Arabidopsis thaliana: one gene and its partners. The protein of the gene in region 1 interacts with the protein of each later gene in a pairwise test. Each region holds a gene or a part of one and is shown in the gene's direction. Other genes may lie near its edges.

Evidence for each region.
Region 2: the proteins of AT3G13175 (region 1) and SFP1 interact in a protein complementation assay, tested with the Arabidopsis thaliana proteins (one large-scale study listed by BioGRID).
Region 3: the proteins of AT3G13175 (region 1) and AT4G30660 interact in a protein complementation assay, tested with the Arabidopsis thaliana proteins (one large-scale study listed by BioGRID).
Region 4: the proteins of AT3G13175 (region 1) and AT1G16560 interact in a protein complementation assay, tested with the Arabidopsis thaliana proteins (one large-scale study listed by BioGRID).

The regions. Positions count from the first base shown.
Region 1 is NC_003074.8:4,234,519-4,237,510, reverse strand, and holds AT3G13175 (uncharacterized protein), read left to right. Parts: upstream 1-1,696; 5' UTR 1,697-1,930; coding exon 1,931-2,251; 3' UTR 2,252-2,436; downstream 2,437-2,992. Other genes in the region: AT3G13180 (NOL1/NOP2/sun family protein / antitermination NusB domain-containing protein), read left to right, coding at 71-178, 310-428, 511-582, 690-775, 885-981, 1,054-1,185.
Region 2 is NC_003076.8:9,646,871-9,654,539, forward strand, and holds SFP1 (Major facilitator superfamily protein), read left to right. Parts: upstream 1-1,637; 5' UTR 1,638-2,087; coding exon 2,088-2,231; intron 2,232-2,373; coding exon 2,374-2,436; intron 2,437-3,580; coding exon 3,581-3,670; intron 3,671-3,802; coding exon 3,803-3,862; intron 3,863-4,002; coding exon 4,003-4,068; intron 4,069-4,153; coding exon 4,154-4,219; intron 4,220-4,387; coding exon 4,388-4,463; intron 4,464-4,610; coding exon 4,611-4,675; intron 4,676-4,774; coding exon 4,775-4,867; intron 4,868-5,008; coding exon 5,009-5,089; intron 5,090-5,181; coding exon 5,182-5,266; intron 5,267-5,633; coding exon 5,634-5,677; intron 5,678-6,052; coding exon 6,053-6,115; intron 6,116-6,199; coding exon 6,200-6,259; intron 6,260-6,349; coding exon 6,350-6,403; intron 6,404-6,511; coding exon 6,512-6,571; intron 6,572-6,672; coding exon 6,673-6,787; intron 6,788-7,166; coding exon 7,167-7,306; 3' UTR 7,307-7,556; downstream 7,557-7,669. UniProt on the Arabidopsis thaliana protein: Sugar transporter.
Region 3 is NC_003075.7:14,953,822-14,956,690, forward strand, and holds AT4G30660 (Low temperature and salt responsive protein family), read left to right. Parts: upstream 1-1,557; 5' UTR 1,558-1,648; coding exon 1,649-1,738; exon of another isoform or gene 1,739-1,988; coding exon 1,989-2,123; 3' UTR 2,124-2,179; exon of another isoform or gene 2,180-2,339; 3' UTR 2,340-2,350; downstream 2,351-2,869. Other genes in the region: AT4G30650 (Low temperature and salt responsive protein family), read left to right, coding at 582-671, 746-877; AT4G30662 (uncharacterized protein), read right to left, coding at 2,362-2,709.
Region 4 is NC_003070.9:5,666,495-5,671,245, forward strand, and holds AT1G16560 (Per1-like family protein), read left to right. Parts: upstream 1-1,889; 5' UTR 1,890-1,970; exon of another isoform or gene 1,971-2,424; 5' UTR 2,425-2,450; coding exon 2,451-2,545; intron 2,546-2,665; coding exon 2,666-2,915; coding exon of another isoform or gene 2,916-2,919; intron 2,920-2,998; coding exon 2,999-3,195; intron 3,196-3,284; coding exon 3,285-3,472; intron 3,473-3,550; coding exon 3,551-3,849; 3' UTR 3,850-4,214; downstream 4,215-4,751. Other genes in the region: AT1G16570 (UDP-Glycosyltransferase superfamily protein), read right to left, coding at 4,269-4,295, 4,386-4,683.

The DNA.
Region 1 (2,992 bases):
AGATTTAAGTTTATCCAAAATCCTTTTGTTCTTTTGATATCTAAATATCTCCCCACATCTGGTACTGCAGGACTAATAGTCTCAGTGGTGAAACCTCAGCCAGGCGAGAGGATAATGGATGCATGTGCTGCTCCTGGAGGAAAGACCCTATTCATGGCATCTTGCTTGAAAGGCCAAGGTAATATTACAAAGACCCCTTATTTTCCTCTATTGTACATTAATGTTGAATTAAATTATCTATTTTGAGAAACTTTTCTACTATACTTGACTGATTCCATCCTCAAACTGGCAAACTCGAATCGATTATAGGTATGATATATGCTATGGATGTGAATGAAGGACGGCTAAGAATTCTTGGTGAGACAGCAAAATCACACCAAGTTGATGGACTTATCACAACCATTCATTCTGATCTTCGTGTCTTTGCTGTAAGTTAACATTATTTGAGTATCTGAAGTTTCCAAGTTTGTAAGCTACTCACATGCTTCCTTCCAACTTAATGTGTTTTAGGAAACCAATGAAGTACAATATGACAAAGTTTTGCTTGATGCCCCGTGTTCTGGACTCGGCGTCCTCTCCAAGGTTAACATGAGAAAAGTTTATCTAACTGTTTCGCCAGCAAGATTTAACATTGCTAGTTGAATTGACCTGATCTGATTAACCTGTTCCCATTAATCTGTATTTTGTAGAGAGCGGATTTGCGCTGGAACCGTAAACTTGAGGACATGTTAGAGCTCACTAAACTGCAGGATGAGCTTCTTGATTCTGCCTCCAAGTATGCACTCTGTACATACATTTTGATGAGTCATTTGATTAATTCTGAAACACTAATATGCGACTTATCTGATACTTTTATCTGTGACACTCTTGATTGAATCTCAAAGACTGGTGAAGCACGGTGGGGTGTTGGTATACAGTACTTGCTCCATAGACCCCGAGGAAAATGAAGGAAGGGTCGAAGCATTTCTCTTAAGACATCCTGTAAGAATCTTTATAATCCATTTGCTTTCCTTCAGATGTTGATATTAACAAATAGTCTCTCTGCTTTCACAGGAATTCACCATAGATCCAGTAACCAGTTTTGTACCGTCGAGTTTTGTAACCTCACAAGGCTTCTTTTTATCAAACCCAGTGAAACACTCACTAGATGGAGCATTTGCAGCTCGTCTGGTTCGAGCCTTGTGACGTTAAAAGCAAGCTGTATTTGTCTCTGCTGAGAGTTTGGATGCAATTAGACGAAGAGGATAAATGAAAACACCTTCTCTTTTATTCGTAGAGTTGGGTTTTATGAGAGAAGTGTAAACTTGTAGAGATGCTGCTAATTGTATGTTGATATGTTTAAAGAAAATGCCTCGCCGTTTTGCCAGAGCTAGAAAGTAGAAACGGCGGCTCGTGTAAGTTCTAACAAAAGAGTAGTCGTCTGTTAGCAACCCAAATCGGGCTTTTAAAGGCCCATATTTTGGTCGGCCTGAATCCAAAGTTAAAAATTCAATCATGCAAAACGGACAACATTATAACTGAATTGAAAATATCTCTCTTATCATTATTTTAGCTTTGTACGATTTACTATTTATGTCAGAAAATGTTTCATTCTTTGACTTTTACGACAACTTTACAAAAAAAAAAATGTTCATACAAGTCACAGAACAAAGTAACATAAAAATCTTAAAAATATATTATCATTTTCGTTAGAAGAAAAACAGTATAATTTTCAAACGCGTTTAAAAACAAAATAACTTGAGATTTTGACGTTATCCTTGTCACAGAGAATCTTTCCTATTTCTTTACGTATAGACACTCAGAGGAAAGACAGAGAGAGAGTTAGCATTGTACTATCTCTCTTTTAGATATATCTCTATCTCTCTTCACTCCATCTTTCTCGTGTTAACACAACAGTCACAGACTCACAGATCTTTGTCGGTGATCGGAGATGGAGTTCCGGGAGAAGCTTTTGAAGTTCAAGTTGCAAATCGTGTTTGCCTTTGTTTTATCTCTCCTCACCGTAGCTCTCGTCGCTTATTCTCCCGGTTTCCTCACCGTTCTATCTTACTTCTGGCCACTTTTTCTCTCCACGGCTCTCTTTCTCGCTGCCGTTTTCTTCTTCGCACGCACCTCCGATCTCCCGGTTTCGTCTACCATCATCCCAGGCGAAGGCGCAGGCTTAAAAGTGGCGGCGGAAGGGATTCTTGACTATGTCGTCGGCGGACAACACGAAGACATTCTCTTTGATAGCTTCACCAAACTTGACTAAGTATGAGACCTCTCTGTTCTTAATTCCTTAAGTATTTCCGTTAATTAGTTGTTCCTTTTTTAATACTAGAGAAAATAAAATTACAAAATGTAATATTTTCACGAGGAATAAAATCTTGCTTAAGTTTATGCTTCTATATTACTTATTTTAATCTTATGTTTCTGTTTAGGCGCGAGGCTTCTTTTCTTTAGGTATCTCTCATTAGTTTATACGTTACAAGATTACACATTGCATTGATATATGATTTTACTTTCAAAAAAAATTTAAATGTTGAACGACCTTAAAATCCGTGCGCTTTACTTTTAAATCTTTCCGAATGAAACCCAACCACCGACGCGACAGCTTTTCATTTGTTTACTAATTAAACGGAACAAAGCAATTTAAATGTTATCAGTGTTGTGTTTTAGTTAGAAATACTATAAATAATACAAGATGCCTCTTTTGTTTTAGAACTTTTTTGGTATCATGAATTCGTTATCGGATAAAATACGTTAAAGCTAAGTAGTATATTCTTAGATTATATATAAATTAGGTGAGCAATCTATCATAGAGAAGAAATGATTAAAATAAGTGTATGGCATAATAGATTCGAACATTTTGGTATGTTCCTCACGTGTCCGAGCATAAAGCTTATGAACAAATCTCGACCACTAGAAGTCTAGAACTAATTCTAATCTAGTTTACCATACACATTAATTATTTCAAATTTAGTGCACATGATTATTTTATATTGGCATCACT
Region 2 (7,669 bases), on another chromosome or scaffold:
TCTATCCGATTTTAGATTAAAGTTGTTTATACAAAATTTTAGACAACACTTAAATTAGTACTATCGTTAGTTATATAGTTCCATTAATCATTTCTCCTTCTGTATGGTTTATTTGGACAGATATGTCATTAAGCGTTTAAAAATATTTGTAGATTTGATAATTTGTCAAAAATAGCATTTATTGATATTATAGTTGATCCGTACGCGTTACGAATTCTTTAGTTGACCTTTCTTTTTTTATAATCTCCTAATATTTAAAATTCAGCAGCAGACTGATGAATAAAATTAAATACTTGGTTCCATTTCTAGATGGTAACAGGTACAAATATAGATCCTCACGTAAGAATAATAACAACGGAGGACAAAAACGTTAAATTATGATTAATTAAACATTTAATTAAAAGTATTAGCAAACTCAATCAAAGAATGACTAAAAGGTTCTAATAACTTGTGAGGTATTTAAACAAGTTAATGTAAAAAAAGAAACAAAAAGGTTGAAACGTACGGTTTTCATCCAATGATTATGAATGACTATAAATGATTGTTTTTTCTACATCAAATATGGAGTTCCATCGTCATCCAATTTTCTTTTGGTTACGAGTGAAAACTTCTTAAAACACCCGAATATAGGATCTGATTGATAACCAAAAGTTGTACAAGTTTTTTAGCTGTTAACTTTATCGAAATAGTGCAAAACTGTTAAAAGAGCTGTATAAAAAAACTGTACAAAAAATCTAAGAAGAAAACTTTTTGTAACGTTTTTGATAAAGTTTTTGTGATTGATAACTATCAATACTGTACAAAGCTGTATTGTGTTACCATTCAAACTTATAATGTTATAGTCTTGGAGAGATATTTTTTTTACTCAAAGATATGAATTTAAGTTAAAATATTCCATAATCCAAACCAGCAATATATACACATTAATATAATTTAAATTGCATGGAATTCAAAATAATACTTATCGTGAATCCATCTAGATACGTTGAGATAAGGGACCAATCAACAAGAGAAGACGTCACTTTTACAAGTTGAGAATAATCTTTCAGAGAGAAAAAAAGAGTAACTGTCGATTTTTGTTGATCCAAGGTAACGTATATGTCCTGACTCAGATTATTGCTTCCAATTATATGTGAAAAGAGCTTTCTCCACATTGACATATAACTAGGATCATTCGCTATAGACGATTAATCGTTGTTTATAATTTGTTATAAAAAAAACTTTGGTATTTTAAAGAATATGTCAATATTTTTTTCATACTACAGTATTTTTAATTCGTCAAACTATTTAAGAATACGCTCATGACAAATGATCATATAATAATAATTTAAATAGTACTTGTATTTATTTTTTCAAGAAGAAAACTTAGTTGAATGAAATTTGACTTAAAATGATATAAAGGGTTTGAATGGTAACCATTTTAATAACAATACAGTTTTGTACCGTTTTGACAGTTACCAATCACAATTTTTTTATCAAAAACGTTACAAAAAGTGTTTTACTCTCAGCTTTTTTTATACAGTTCCTTTTAACAGCTTTGTACTATTCCGATAAAGCTAACAAATAAAAATTTTGTACAGCTTTTGGTTACCAATAAAACCCAAAGTCTTACAAAAAAGGTCTTACGCGTCCACGTTAGCTTTCCAATCCAACCCTTAATTAGAAGTCTTCACCATTTGCTGGTTAAAGGATATTTTTTCAAAGTGTTTAGCATTTTGTATACGTCAAACTATTTTAGAATCCAGATGATGAATGATCATATACTAATACTTAGCTGTATTTTTATAATTTAAAACAACAAAACTTGGTTTAATGAAATTTGACTTGATCTTGTTTAAAAAAACGTCTCACGTCCACACGTTAGCTTTTCCAATCCAAAACCCCTAAAGAGTAGAAAACCAAAATAACCATTTTTAATTCCCAGCCTCTTTTTATACGTAGTCTAAATTGACAAACACATCATTCGCTCTCTTTCTCTTCTTTCTCTAGCTCTCTTGGTTTTTTGCTAAAAACAGAGCATTTTCTCTCTAGCTCTCACTGTTTCTTTACCATAAGTTTCGTCATATTAGTACATGCAAGTGTAAGGGATGGTGATGGAGGAAGGAAGAAGCATAGAAGAAGGGCTTTTGCAGCTCAAGAACAAAAACGACGATTCAGAGTGTCGTATTACTGCTTGTGTTATCCTTAGCACTTTTGTCGCCGTTTGTGGCTCCTTCTCTTTTGGTGTTGCTGTGAGTTTTCTACTTTACCTTACTTTGATTTTTTCTTCTTCTATAGAAGAACAAATGAAAACAACAAAATTGTATGAAAAGAAAACATACTTCATAATTACGTTATACCTATTTTCTTATAGTTTTTGTTGTTTTTATACAGACTGGTTACACTTCAGGTGCTGAGACAGGAGTTATGAAGGACTTGGATCTTTCTATCGCGCAAGTATGTCTCTCTTTTACGGTTTTTCTTCTATTTCTAAAAACATGTATTGAAAATTAACCAAGTAGCAAATTTTATCAAAAAAAAAAGACTAAGGCCATGAATGTTTGTAGTTTTTAAAATGGTTTTTGGATTTTGGTTTTTAGTTTTTGATTTTCTTGGTTTTTGTTTTTGGTGTAGATTTTAGTTTCTTAAAAACTTGAATGGTAATTTGTTTAGATTTTGGTTTTTATGTTAATGGATTATATTTTATTTTACAAAAAAAATCTAAAAATAAAATAAAAAATGTGATCGATGGTTTTTTTATAGAGAAACTCTCAAAACATAGATTTTGATTTTCTTTGAAAAGTTGTTAAAACACTCAAAAACTAGATTCCCTATTTTTTTAAGAAAACTTGTTTTTTCAAAATTTTGAATGGTTACAAAATAGATTTTAGAAAAAACTAAAACCAAAAACTAGTTTAAAAACCACATCCATTCAAAGTTAATTCTTTTATACTATCATCCTTAAACAAACAAACAAAGTTTTGTGTATAATTAAGCAACTGAGAGCGAGTGACATATTGACATATGCAAAAAATAGCTAGGTTAATTATCGTTCAATTTTTATCAAAATACAAGCTTCACATCATTTTTAAATCCGTAAATATTTGTTTCTTTATTCATTCAAATTGAAACAAACAACCATCAATTCTAAAGAAGAAACATATAGATTGTCGTTATCCCATTGAGTTGATTATACTTCTTTGTTGGTGTGGTTCACCTCCTTTTTTACCCATTTTTTAAACTCTTATCATAACCCTACCAAAACTATATATATATATTATCCTGATATATATGGAATTGTCGAAATCATCCAAAAAAAAACATTATTTATCATAATAATAACCCTACCAAAACTATATATATGCACATATATCCTGATATATTGAGCGGTTGTCAAAATCATCTTATAAAAACATTATCTAGCTATCAACGTTTCCATCGTTCCAGAACCATTCTCCGGCCAATTCTCTCATCTACAATAATAGAAATTTGAAATATTGAAATATTATATATATATATATATATATATATATATTAAAAATAATAATAATAATACTATATATATGAAAACTATATTTGTTATAAATCATTTTTTTCTCAGTTTTCAGCTTTTGGCTCATTCGCCACTTTAGGAGCTGCAATTGGTGCACTGTTCTGCGGTAATCTGGCAATGGTCATTGGCAGAAGAGGGGTAATTAATTTAACCATTTCACCTTTCATATTCGTAATTTTACCATTCTTCTATTTTTTTGGTTCTTTCGTGACTATAATTTTCGTATATATGATGCTTATAATAATATTTTTGCTATTTATGATATAATAGACAATGTGGGTCTCCGATTTCCTATGCATCACTGGTTGGCTCTCCATCGCTTTTGCTAAGGTACTACTAGTTATTTTCTATTCATAAACATGTTTTTTTTTTCATTCAAACATTATTTCTTAGAAAATAAACAAACCAATTAATTTATGGTTATTATAAACCCAATAATTAAATTTATGTTATGTTTTGGAATACAATAGGAAGTAGTGTTGCTGAACTTCGGAAGAATCATTTCAGGGATAGGTTTCGGCTTGACGAGCTATGTGGTAATTAACTTATTATTATTATTATTTAATATCATCTTTGTAAGTTTGTTTTCTGATCTGTAATTTTTGCTTATTTACCAAGCAGGTACCTGTCTACATAGCAGAAATTACGCCAAAACATGTTCGTGGTACATTTACGTTTTCAAACCAGGTAATACTTTAGGTTTTTAGAATATTTATAAGAATGAGTGCTGACAAAAAAAAAAAATAGCACAAACTAGTCTAAGACAAACCAACCAAAATCCAAATTAAAACTTTTCAAAATTTCTCGTGAGTATATTGATCCTTGTTTCATTCTTGTGTAATTATTGATTATTAGCTTCTTCAAAACGCTGGACTCGCCATGATTTATTTCTGTGGGAATTTCATCACTTGGAGGACGTTGGCTTTATTAGGTAAGACTATAAATTCCATATTCATCGTGAAAAAATTGTTTTGAGACGTAAGAATATGTTAAATGTATAGTAGAAAAAAACTGGAAATCTTCAGCTGTTATATTATAGCAAATCAACTGATAAAAATGTAATACGTTTTTGGTTTAGGTGCTTTACCATGCTTCATTCAAGTAATCGGTTTATTCTTCGTGCCAGAGTCTCCAAGATGGCTGGTTGGTCATTTAATTTTTCTTTAGTGTTTTACGTAATTTATTAATTATTATCAACCATGAGAAGAAAAAAATTTAAACCAAACTATTTTCATTTTGAAGGCCAAAGTTGGCTCCGATAAAGAACTAGAAAATTCACTGTTTCGGCTTAGAGGAAGAGATGCTGATATTTCACGTGAAGCCTCAGAAATTCAAGTGAGTTTTACTATATACTATTATCAGTTATAATTTATATAATTTTCAATAAATATACATTCCCTTTTTCTTTGAAATTATATTTTCATTCCTTCACAAATAAAAAAATGTAAAGTCTGAATAATTCTGTGTTGTTTTCAGGTAATGACCAAAATGGTGGAAAATGATTCAAAGTCGAGTTTTTCAGATTTGTTCCAGAGAAAGTATAGATACACCCTCGTGGTACGTACAAGTACATCAAACTAATTTCTAGAGTATCAAATTTTCATATTTAATTTATCTGCACAAGCATTCATTTTTAATTAATATCTCAGGTAGGAATCGGGCTAATGTTGATACAACAATTCTCAGGAAGTGCTGCTGTAATCTCTTATGCAAGTACCATTTTTAGAAAAGCTGGTAAGCATTCATTTATTTTTATTAATGTTTAATTTTATATTAAAATGTCAGAAATAATAATAACTATATATATATTATATGACAATCTGTTCAAATCTGCAAGTGAAGATTTGCATAGAAGTTTCAGTTTCTCTGAGAATGTTTTTTTTTCTAACAAAACATATTTTATTCTACCAATCAATAGATTATGGGCAAAGGTCCTGAACTCCTAAGATTTCTCAAAATAAAATTAAATTGTGTATTTATTTTGTAAAATGATGCCATTAGCTCATTCTAAATACTTTAAGAGAAAGGGTTTTAGTAAATATTTACCATGAGTTCCTCTTTCCATTTTTTTTTGCTCAATAATTGTTCTGGATGGAAACAGGTTTTTCGGTGGCCATTGGAACGACGATGCTAGGTATCTTCGTGGTAAGTATATATAAATGTTTTTCTCAAATTTTGTTTGACTATATGGATGCAAAATTTAAGAAATGAAACTACGTCTCTGAAATCTGTTGTTATTGAGCAACTAAACTTGTGTGATGTTATTTAACCTGGTATAGGTCGCGTTTCTAGGAGATATAGAATTTTTGGGTTTCAACTTCCAAATATTCAAAAAAAAACAAAACTTGTGTGATGTTGGCGTTTTAATCGACATTTTATCACAGTTGAAAAAACGACATTTTTTATTTTGTTAAAATTTCGTACTTTAATGAACTCTTTGAACTAAGAATTTTCATGTACTAGTTTTTTTTCTTTTAACTCGTGAAAGCATTGAATGGTATAATATCTGGCTATTCGCAGATTCCAAAAGCCATGATTGGCCTCATTCTTGTCGATAAATGGGGCAGACGTCCTCTCCTGATGGTGAGCATGTCTTTAAATAATTTCTGGCTGTTCGCAGATTCAAATCTATTAGTCTATATTGATTTGATTACTATTTTGACATAGACTTCAGCGTTTGGGATGAGCATGACTTGCATGCTACTTGGGGTCGCCTTCACATTACAGGTTATTTTTTTTGTAAGATAATTACTATTTTTATTTATTCTGTTTTTAAACCAATAACTTATTTGTTTAACAATGTTTTTGCATGAGCAGAAAATGCAATTGCTTTCGGAACTAACTCCAATATTATCGTTTATATGCGTAATGGTAAGACATTATATCTCCTTGTACACAATCTTTTTGATGAAAATATTTACGTTGATGTTTCTTTTACATATAAAATATAGTTAAAATTGATATTTTTTAAATCGGCAGATGTATATTGCAACTTATGCAATAGGCTTGGGAGGTCTACCTTGGGTAATTATGTCGGAGGTACATAAATTTACTTCACTGTTAATTTTATTTCTATGCAGGAAGTAAGTAATATGTCTTGAAAAATAAAGTAATATATGTATGATTTTTGGTGTGTGCAGATATTTCCAATAAATATAAAAGTAACTGCAGGAAGTATAGTTACGTTAGTCTCATTTTCAAGTAGTTCAATCGTCACTTACGCTTTCAACTTTCTGTTCGAATGGAGCACTCAAGGTATTATGTTTTTCTTTTTCTTAATATCCATTTTATACAATTTTGGTTATATAAATTATCTTGTGATCAACAAAAAAAGTTATAACTTATCCTTTTTTTTTGTATATCGCATAGAAATAATCAATGATTAAGTCTAGAAAACTTATATAGTTTTCAAAGTCTGTGTTTATAGCATTTCAATGAAACCTCATATACATTTTATAACACAACTATTTGTTTATTTTATTTTAAAAGACTAATTAGTTAAATTTTTGGTTGAGTGAATATGTTATATAGTTTGTATTTATTTTATTTTCTCCTAATGTCTATATATATATATATATATATTATAATTGCATTTAATTTATAATTTTCTTATATAGTTTAATTAATGTAATAGGAACGTTTTTCATATTCGCGGGTATCGGTGGAGCAGCGTTGCTTTTTATATGGTTGCTCGTTCCAGAAACGAAAGGATTATCACTCGAAGAAATACAAGTTTCACTTATTCATCAGCCCGATGAAAGAAATCAAACTTAATTTGAATTATTTTATTTTATTATAAAAATGATCAAATTCAGTTTATGGTGTTATATTTGTTTATTTACAAACAAGGATTTTTTTTTTTCATTATGTAATTACTACTTTATTTTTCTGGGTAATTAGCCCCATTTTTATGATGTATATTTACGAGATGTAAAACTTGGCCTACGTACATGTGTATTTTATCTCTAAAATTGCAAATGTAATATTTTTCGGACATATATTAAAGAAGAGATTGATTTCTAGTATTGGGTAACTAGGGTAATTAATGATGAACAATAAACATGCGATTAATTAATCTAAACTGTTAAGTCCTAATATTGCTGTTTAATATGAAGTAGCTAGTATATTTAGAAAACT
Region 3 (2,869 bases), on another chromosome or scaffold:
GTGAGTTTGTCTTGTCACTAAATTCCCAACTTTTGGTGTGTTCTATTAATATTCTTCATTGCTTTAGGTCTGAATCATAGTGTTAAGTGAAATAAACATTGAGGGAAATGGGTTAAGTAAATGTACTGAGATAGCTTGCCATCTAAGCAAGCAACAGAAAAATTGGGCTAATCAAAGTCCGGTCCCGGAAACAATAGAAGACAGGCCTTCTAGGCCAACTTAGTCACGTGATCCATTAACCGTACGATAAGGGGGCGAGTCAGAGTAATAATATCCCACAATGATCAGGTGTGTTGTGTTGCACCATACCTTGCGTGTTCTTGAGATGAAAATATCTAAAGAGTGGGGGCAAGGTAAGGTAATTTTACGAGATGTCGGCATGTAAGCTGAAGCCGTACGATTTATATACCAAACAAATAAACGGTGCAGATCTCGTAGTTGACTTGGTAGCGCCAAAAATAAAAAGCCGTGGATTGCTCTTTTAATTGGATCTCTGTGCTACCGACTACTTTCAGTGTTCTCTTCTTCTCCACTAATTCAGATCACATTCAAGAATCTTCTTCACTCACATCTCTGAAAAAATGGCGAGCAACATGGAAGTTTTCTGCGAGATCTTAATCGCGATCCTTCTTCCACCTCTTGGAGTTTGTCTCAAACGTGGCTGTTGCACTGTAAGTTATTGGAATTTTGGAATCATGAATCTTGAGATTTAGTTTAGAAAATCTGACTCTTAGTTTTTTTGCAGGTAGAGTTCTTGATTTGCTTGGTGCTGACAATCTTAGGATACATCCCAGGGATAATTTATGCACTATACGTGATCGTGTTTCAAAACCGTGAAGGCTCTACCGAACTTGGAGCTCCACTTAACTCAGCTTGATCTGTTTTGGTCCATTACACGGATCAATATGTTGTTGAAACTGTTTTACTTATCATGTACCAAATAATAAGTTGCTTTGCAATTTTTATGTATTGAAGATTTGAGAACATTGTCGCGTTATTGATACATTGCTTATCTTTTTGATGTATAACTTGTTGGCTTTTGCAAAGTCAGGCTACGGACCTTCCTAAGAGTTAATGTATCAAATTCTTTGCCAAGATTGTATTTACCGGAGTTTAAACTTCGCAAAATGCGGAAGCATTTTTGAGTTTGAAAGGATTTTGTATGATGCCAACATATATTATGGTATAGATTATGCTAAAAAAGATAGATTTCTGTTACTTTGGCAAATAATGACAATGATTGTGAGTTGAGGAATCAAAGTCTCAGTAATACGACACCGTTTGAGTCAAAACGTTTCTGTCCAATTCCAGTCTGGTCCCGGGATTAATAAAATAGACAGGCCTTCCCAGGCCCATTTAGTCACATGGATGAGTCAGAGACTAAAATATCTAAAAGTGATCTGATGTGATAAGGGTGCACCATATCGTTCGTTGTGATTCACGAGATGTAATCTAAAGCCGTACGATTTAAATATCAATAAATGAACGGTGCAGATCTCGCACATTGACTTTGTAGTGGAAACAAAATAAAACGTGGACTGATCTCTCTTCATTGGTACTCTCAACTCTGTGACAGCAAGTTTCAGTGTTTTGTCTTTTAAAAAAACTCTTAAAGCTTCTTCTTCTCTCATCTCATCTCTCTGAAAAAATGCCGAGCAACTGTGAGATTCTGTGCGAGATCATTATCGCGATCCTTCTTCCTCCTCTCGGAGTTTGCTTCAGGAAAGGATGCTGCACTGTAAGTTCTCTCTCTCTCTCTTTCGAATTCCTCAATTTTGAAGAATCCTGGAACTTCTTATAGAGACTGTAATTTTGGATTGATTATAATGTAATTTGGTATGAGTAATGAAGGGAGTGCTTAATCTATGATATGAATCGCAGAAATTCTCTGGATTGGATCAATTTATGTTTGATTCATTGATTCCTGAAAGCTTGGATAATCATTTGAAGAAAGTTGAATTTTTTTTATGTGTGGTTTGTTTTGGCAGGTGGAGTTTTTGATATGCCTGGTGTTGACGATCTTAGGCTATGTCCCGGGGATAATATATGCGATTTACGTGATTGTGTTTCAGCACCGTGAAGAGTACTTTGATGAATACAGACGCCCCATCTACTCTGCTTGATTTCTGTTTCTTTGGAACTGTGTTGCTTTGACTTGTACCAATAAAGTTGCTTTGCAGTTGTTTTCAGAGATTTGAAAACGTTTGTGTGTCATTTATATGCAATATTGAAAGTTTCTTCTGTTATCAGCTTATGAACCCTCCTGCTATGTGTGCTTATGCATCAGGTTGTTGACATAGTGTTTTCGCAAGGCACAAATTAAATTATTAAATTGAAAGGTTAAAAAAAAAAAGAGTTTAATTAGAAGGCGAAGAACATCAACAGAATTGAGCTCGCGACCGTGGAACCGTAGCGCAATGCCATCGAGAGACAAGGTCGACTAGTAGCGGATGATCCACCCGCACCATGACCACTACTGGGGACACGACGGTGGCTACGACCACCACCACGACTACCACCACCAACACCACCAAAACGAGCTTTCCTCATGAAAACTCGAAGAGAGTCATGATGATCCAACGGATTGGAGTCACCGTGTTGTGCAAGTCTTCGTTCACTCTCCTTATTTTCAGATGAAATTGGCAAAGGCTGAGAGAGTAACAATAGGAGTACAATCAATGAACAAGAAAATGCCAGTGAAGTCCTCATTTCTGTTTTATCAAATAATATGTGTGTATATACATGTATCTGATCGAAAAAAATCAGAAATATGTGTTAATTTTACAATGATGGGACGCATTATGTGTGCAAAAGAATTAGTATTTATAATATCGCTAGGCTTAGGTAACGAAACGACCATGGCTTAAAC
Region 4 (4,751 bases), on another chromosome or scaffold:
GACTGCACCTTCCATTGTGTTTATCGATGAGATTGATGCGATTGGATCAAAGAGGGAAAATCAGCAAAGGGAGATGGAAAAGCGGATTGTAACGCAATTATTGACTTGTATGGATGGACCTGGTAACAATGGTCCTGAGTCTAGTGTTGGATTTGTTCTCGTTATTGGAGCTACAAATGGCCTGATGTTCTTGATCCTGCTTTGAGGAGAAGTGGACGATTTGAATGTGAGATTGCTCTAGGTGTTCCAGATGAAGATGCAAGAGCTGAGATACTTTCTGTTGTAGCCCAAAAACTTAGACTAGAAGGGCCCTTTGACAAGAAAAGAATAGCTCGTTTAACGCCGGGTTTTGTTGGAGCAGATTTGGAGGGTGTTGCTAACATGGCTGGCAGGATTGCCACAAAGAGAATCTTGGATTCAAGAAAATCTCAACTGGCTGGGGACTCTGAAGATGATAGTTCTTGGCTGAGGCATCCCTGGCCAGAAGAAGAGTTGGAAAAACTCTTTGTTAAGATGTCTGATTTCGAGGTATGTTAATTGTAGGCATGGCATGAGTCTACTTTTCTGTACTTCAATAGCTACGAGATTTTAATCCTTGGTTCCTAACTCTGTTGGTTGCTCTGTAATCTACTAGGAAGCAGTGAATCTAGTTCAGGCATCTTTAACAAGGGAAGGATTCTCTATCGTGCCTGATGTCAAGTGGGATGATGTTGGTGGACTTGAGCATCTACGACTTGAATTCAACCGCTATATAGTCAGACCTATCAAAAAGCCTGATATTTACAAGGTAACTAATAAGTCACTTAGAACTGTTATATAGTCAAGATTACTTGCTTTTTCTCTCGAGGTCTGAATGTGCCACTTTGGTTCTTTTTAGGCTTTTGGGGTAGACTTAGAGGTTGGATTTTTACTCTATGGACCACCGGGTTGTGGCAAGACATTGATTGCAAAGGCAGTTGCTAACGAGGCAGGAGCTAATTTCATGCACATCAAGGGTGCAGAGCTTCTAAACAAGTACGTTGGAGAGAGCGAGCTTGCTATTCGGACATTGTTTCAGCGTGCCCGGACATGTTCGCCATGTGTGATCTTCTTTGATGAGGTGGATGCTTTGACAACAAGCCGTGGCAAAGAAGGTGCCTGGGTTGTTGAACGGCTTTTAAACCAGTTCCTTGTTGAGCTAGACGGTGGAGAGAGGCGTAATGTATACGTAATTGGAGCTACAAACAGGCCAGATGTAATTGATCCTGCGTTCTTGAGACCTGGTAGGTTTGGGAATCTTCTATATGTACCCCTCCCTAACGCCGATGAACGTGCTTCAATTCTAAAAGCTATTGCAAGGAAGAAGCCCATAGATCCTAGTGTTGATCTTGATAGCATTGCAAAGATGAATTGTGAAGGTTTCAGCGGAGCTGATCTCGCTCACTTGGTGCAAAAAGCTACATTCCAGGCAGTGGAGGAGATCACCACAATTTCATGTGAAGATGATGACGATATTACAGATACAAGTCAGTGTACGATTAAGATGACTCATTTCGAGCAAGCATTGTCCTTAGTCTCACCTTCTGTGAACAAACAGCAAAGAAGACACTATGAGGAACTATCAAAAAAGCTCCAAGAAAGCATTGGAAGGAAACCATAGGGTCATTCTTTTTGCCTTGCACTAAAACCTCTCTTACTTATATTATGTCTGCAAATTCCCATTCTTCTGAGTACTTGTAACAATTATATTATTGAGATAAGATAAATACGAAAGAAGGTTTTGTTACTCTTTTTTGGGGGACATTTTGTAAAGCAGATAATGGTAGAAACTAGAAAGAAAAAGAATAATGCAAAAACTACGTCGTTTAGTTTAAATTATAAGACACGTGGTCTTCTCTTTCGTCGTCTCCATTATTTACAGGAGTGCGATAATATTCTTTGAAGCTTTAACATTGTTGCGAAGACCAGACTCTCAGACTCAGACTCGGGAGGTATTGGATTCTATCTGATCTGCTCGATTTTTTCTCTATTTTCTTGCTCTCTACATTATAGCTGATCGATTTCTCATCTTGTTGTTGTTGTCCCTGCTTGATTGGTAGATCTCGAGGGGGTTTAAGCTCTGCATTTGATTTAAGTTCTGAGTTTTCGATAATCTGATCGAATCTGGAAATCATAGTATTAGATTCTACAGAAATCAAGTTCGATCCTTAACCAAGAGATTCTGTAGTCTTTCAAGGTCGAATTATAGAAGGATTTTTATTGATATGTGAGAATTTCTTTCACTGGAATAAACACTTGCTTTAGGATTCTTAACGGAAGCATCATATGAAGATCTTCACATTTGTAGTTTTTTTTTATAGTCTCTGATTCATAGTTTCCATTTGCAGCTCCTTTAAGCGATTTCTTTCTTTGTTTTTTGAGGCTTGCATTGTTATTATCACGCAGTGATTTCACTTCAACTTTCTGCTCAGATGGCAGTCCACTACTGGACAGCCCTGTTTCTATTGTTGCCATGCCTTTTCTGTATTTCAAATGCTAGTGCTGGCGATGCTGATCCAGATTACAGGTAATCTTAGAATTTCGGTAATCTTTGAGTATCTATCGTGAACTTGGTTTTGTTGTAGCTTATATGTAAGCAACATTTTTGATTCGTGGAGATTATGAATGTCTGGCAATTTTGTGTCAGGACATGTGTTTCAGAATGTGAGATAAGCGGTTGTGTTGGACAACTTTGCTTTCCTCAGTGCAATTCTTCATCCGATGGTGGTCCATGGTACATCCAAGAACCTTTGTATTTACAATGGAAAAAATGGGGTTGTCAAGGTGATTGCCGTTATCAATGTATGGTTAATAGAGAGACTGAACGGGAAACTCTCGGTCAAGCCCCAGTCAAGTACCATGGTAAATGGCCCTTCAAGCGTGTACTTGGGATTCAGGTTAGTTTTTTTCTTCAATCGCTTTTTTTTATTCTGGTTGTTTCCATATAATATGAGTTTTGACTTACCTTGTTCTTTGCCAGGAGCCTGCTTCTGTTGCTTTCTCTGTACTCAACCTAGCAATGCATTTCCATGGTTGGCTTTCCTTTTTCATCATGATCTACTATAAGTTGCCTCTGAAACAAGATAGGACAGCGTACTATGAATACGTTGGTTTGTGGCATATCTACGGTCTCCTGTCCATGAACTCTTGGTTCTGGAGTGCTGTTTTCCACAGCCGGTAAATCATCTACACATTACTCTATTATCCACAATCTGCATCATATATTCATATGTGATTTTCTGGTAATCCGTCTCTGTGGTTCTCAGGGATGTTGACCTTACAGAGAGGTTGGACTACTCATCCGCAGTAGCGATTCTCGGATTCTCACTCATCTTAGCCATTTTACGAACATTTGATATTCGGGTTGAGGCTGCAAGGGTCATGGTATCCGCTCCAATACTAGCTTTTGTAACCACCCACATACTCTACATAAACTTCTACAAACTCGACTATGGTACCCTCAATAACTTTCCGTTGTCTAAAAATCGAGTCAATATTTTTGGTGAATTCATCAGTTGAATGTCGTTTACAGGCTGGAACATGATTGTGTGTGTGGCAATGGGAGTCTCACAGCTTTTCCTATGGGCAAGATGGGCCGCTGTCTCAAGCCACCCTTCTAATTGGAAACTTTGGGTGGTTGTGATAGCTGGAGGATTAGCCATGCTTCTAGAGATATATGATTTTCCTCCATATGAAGGCTACTTCGATGCTCACTCGATCTGGCACGCTGCCACAATTCCCTTAACCATTCTCTGGTGGAGCTTCATTAGAGACGATGCTGAGTTCAGAACTTCCAGCCTCCTCAAGAAAACTAAGACGAAGGCAAAGTGAGTCTCTTTGCTAAGTTTTACAAGGATTTTTATCCGACCATACGAGTATGCAGACACGAGGGAAAAACAAAAGATGGAAATGGATTTAAACATCACGAAGAAGGCAGAGTCTTTTGTTTAAAGCTAGCTGGTTTATGGATTCACAGGTTTCTTCAGTTTTTTTTATTTTATATTGTTACATTAACTGTTGAATTTGCTTTGAGCCTTTCAGTGTTTTTCTTTGGCCTTACTTTTGGTTAAGAAAGATTTTGATATCATTTACTCATTCATACACAGACTCATGCGAAACCATTTTGAATTCAGATTCTGTCAATATTTTCGAGACAATCTTGTAATCTATAGGATTTTGTATAAAAATTTGGATCTACAAAAGCAGTTGTGTGAGAAACTCTCAAGCCCATCGATTTTGAGTCTTCTCTTTCATGAATCTGCAATTTGAGACACGACCTGCATAGACCAGACATAAAGACATCTTATGAGAAATAGCCCAATAAAAAAGTATGTGTGCGGGATACAGAGAGGGCCGACGGATTTTGCCTGAGTGATTAAAGGTTTTGCACAATCTTCCCACTCTGTAGCCCATCGACCCGAAGAACCAGTCTCCATTGCACCCGCTTTAAGCGACATTAGTGCATCACAGTTCCCTGGAAAACCCTTGAAGAGAATCTGTTCACAAAGACAAAACACAAGAACATTACTGCTGTCTTCTGCTGTAGACTTGGTGAAATAGTCTTTTAAAAAGAAAGACGAGTTACTTACCAATAATTGATCTGCTAATTCTGATGAAGATGAAAACAAAAGTCCGTTCTTCCCATCTTTAACGAGTTCTTGAATGCTTCACGAAAGTTGAAGGTTTTAAAGTTATAGTATTTGTTCGTGAAAGTAATGTAAGTGATTGATTAT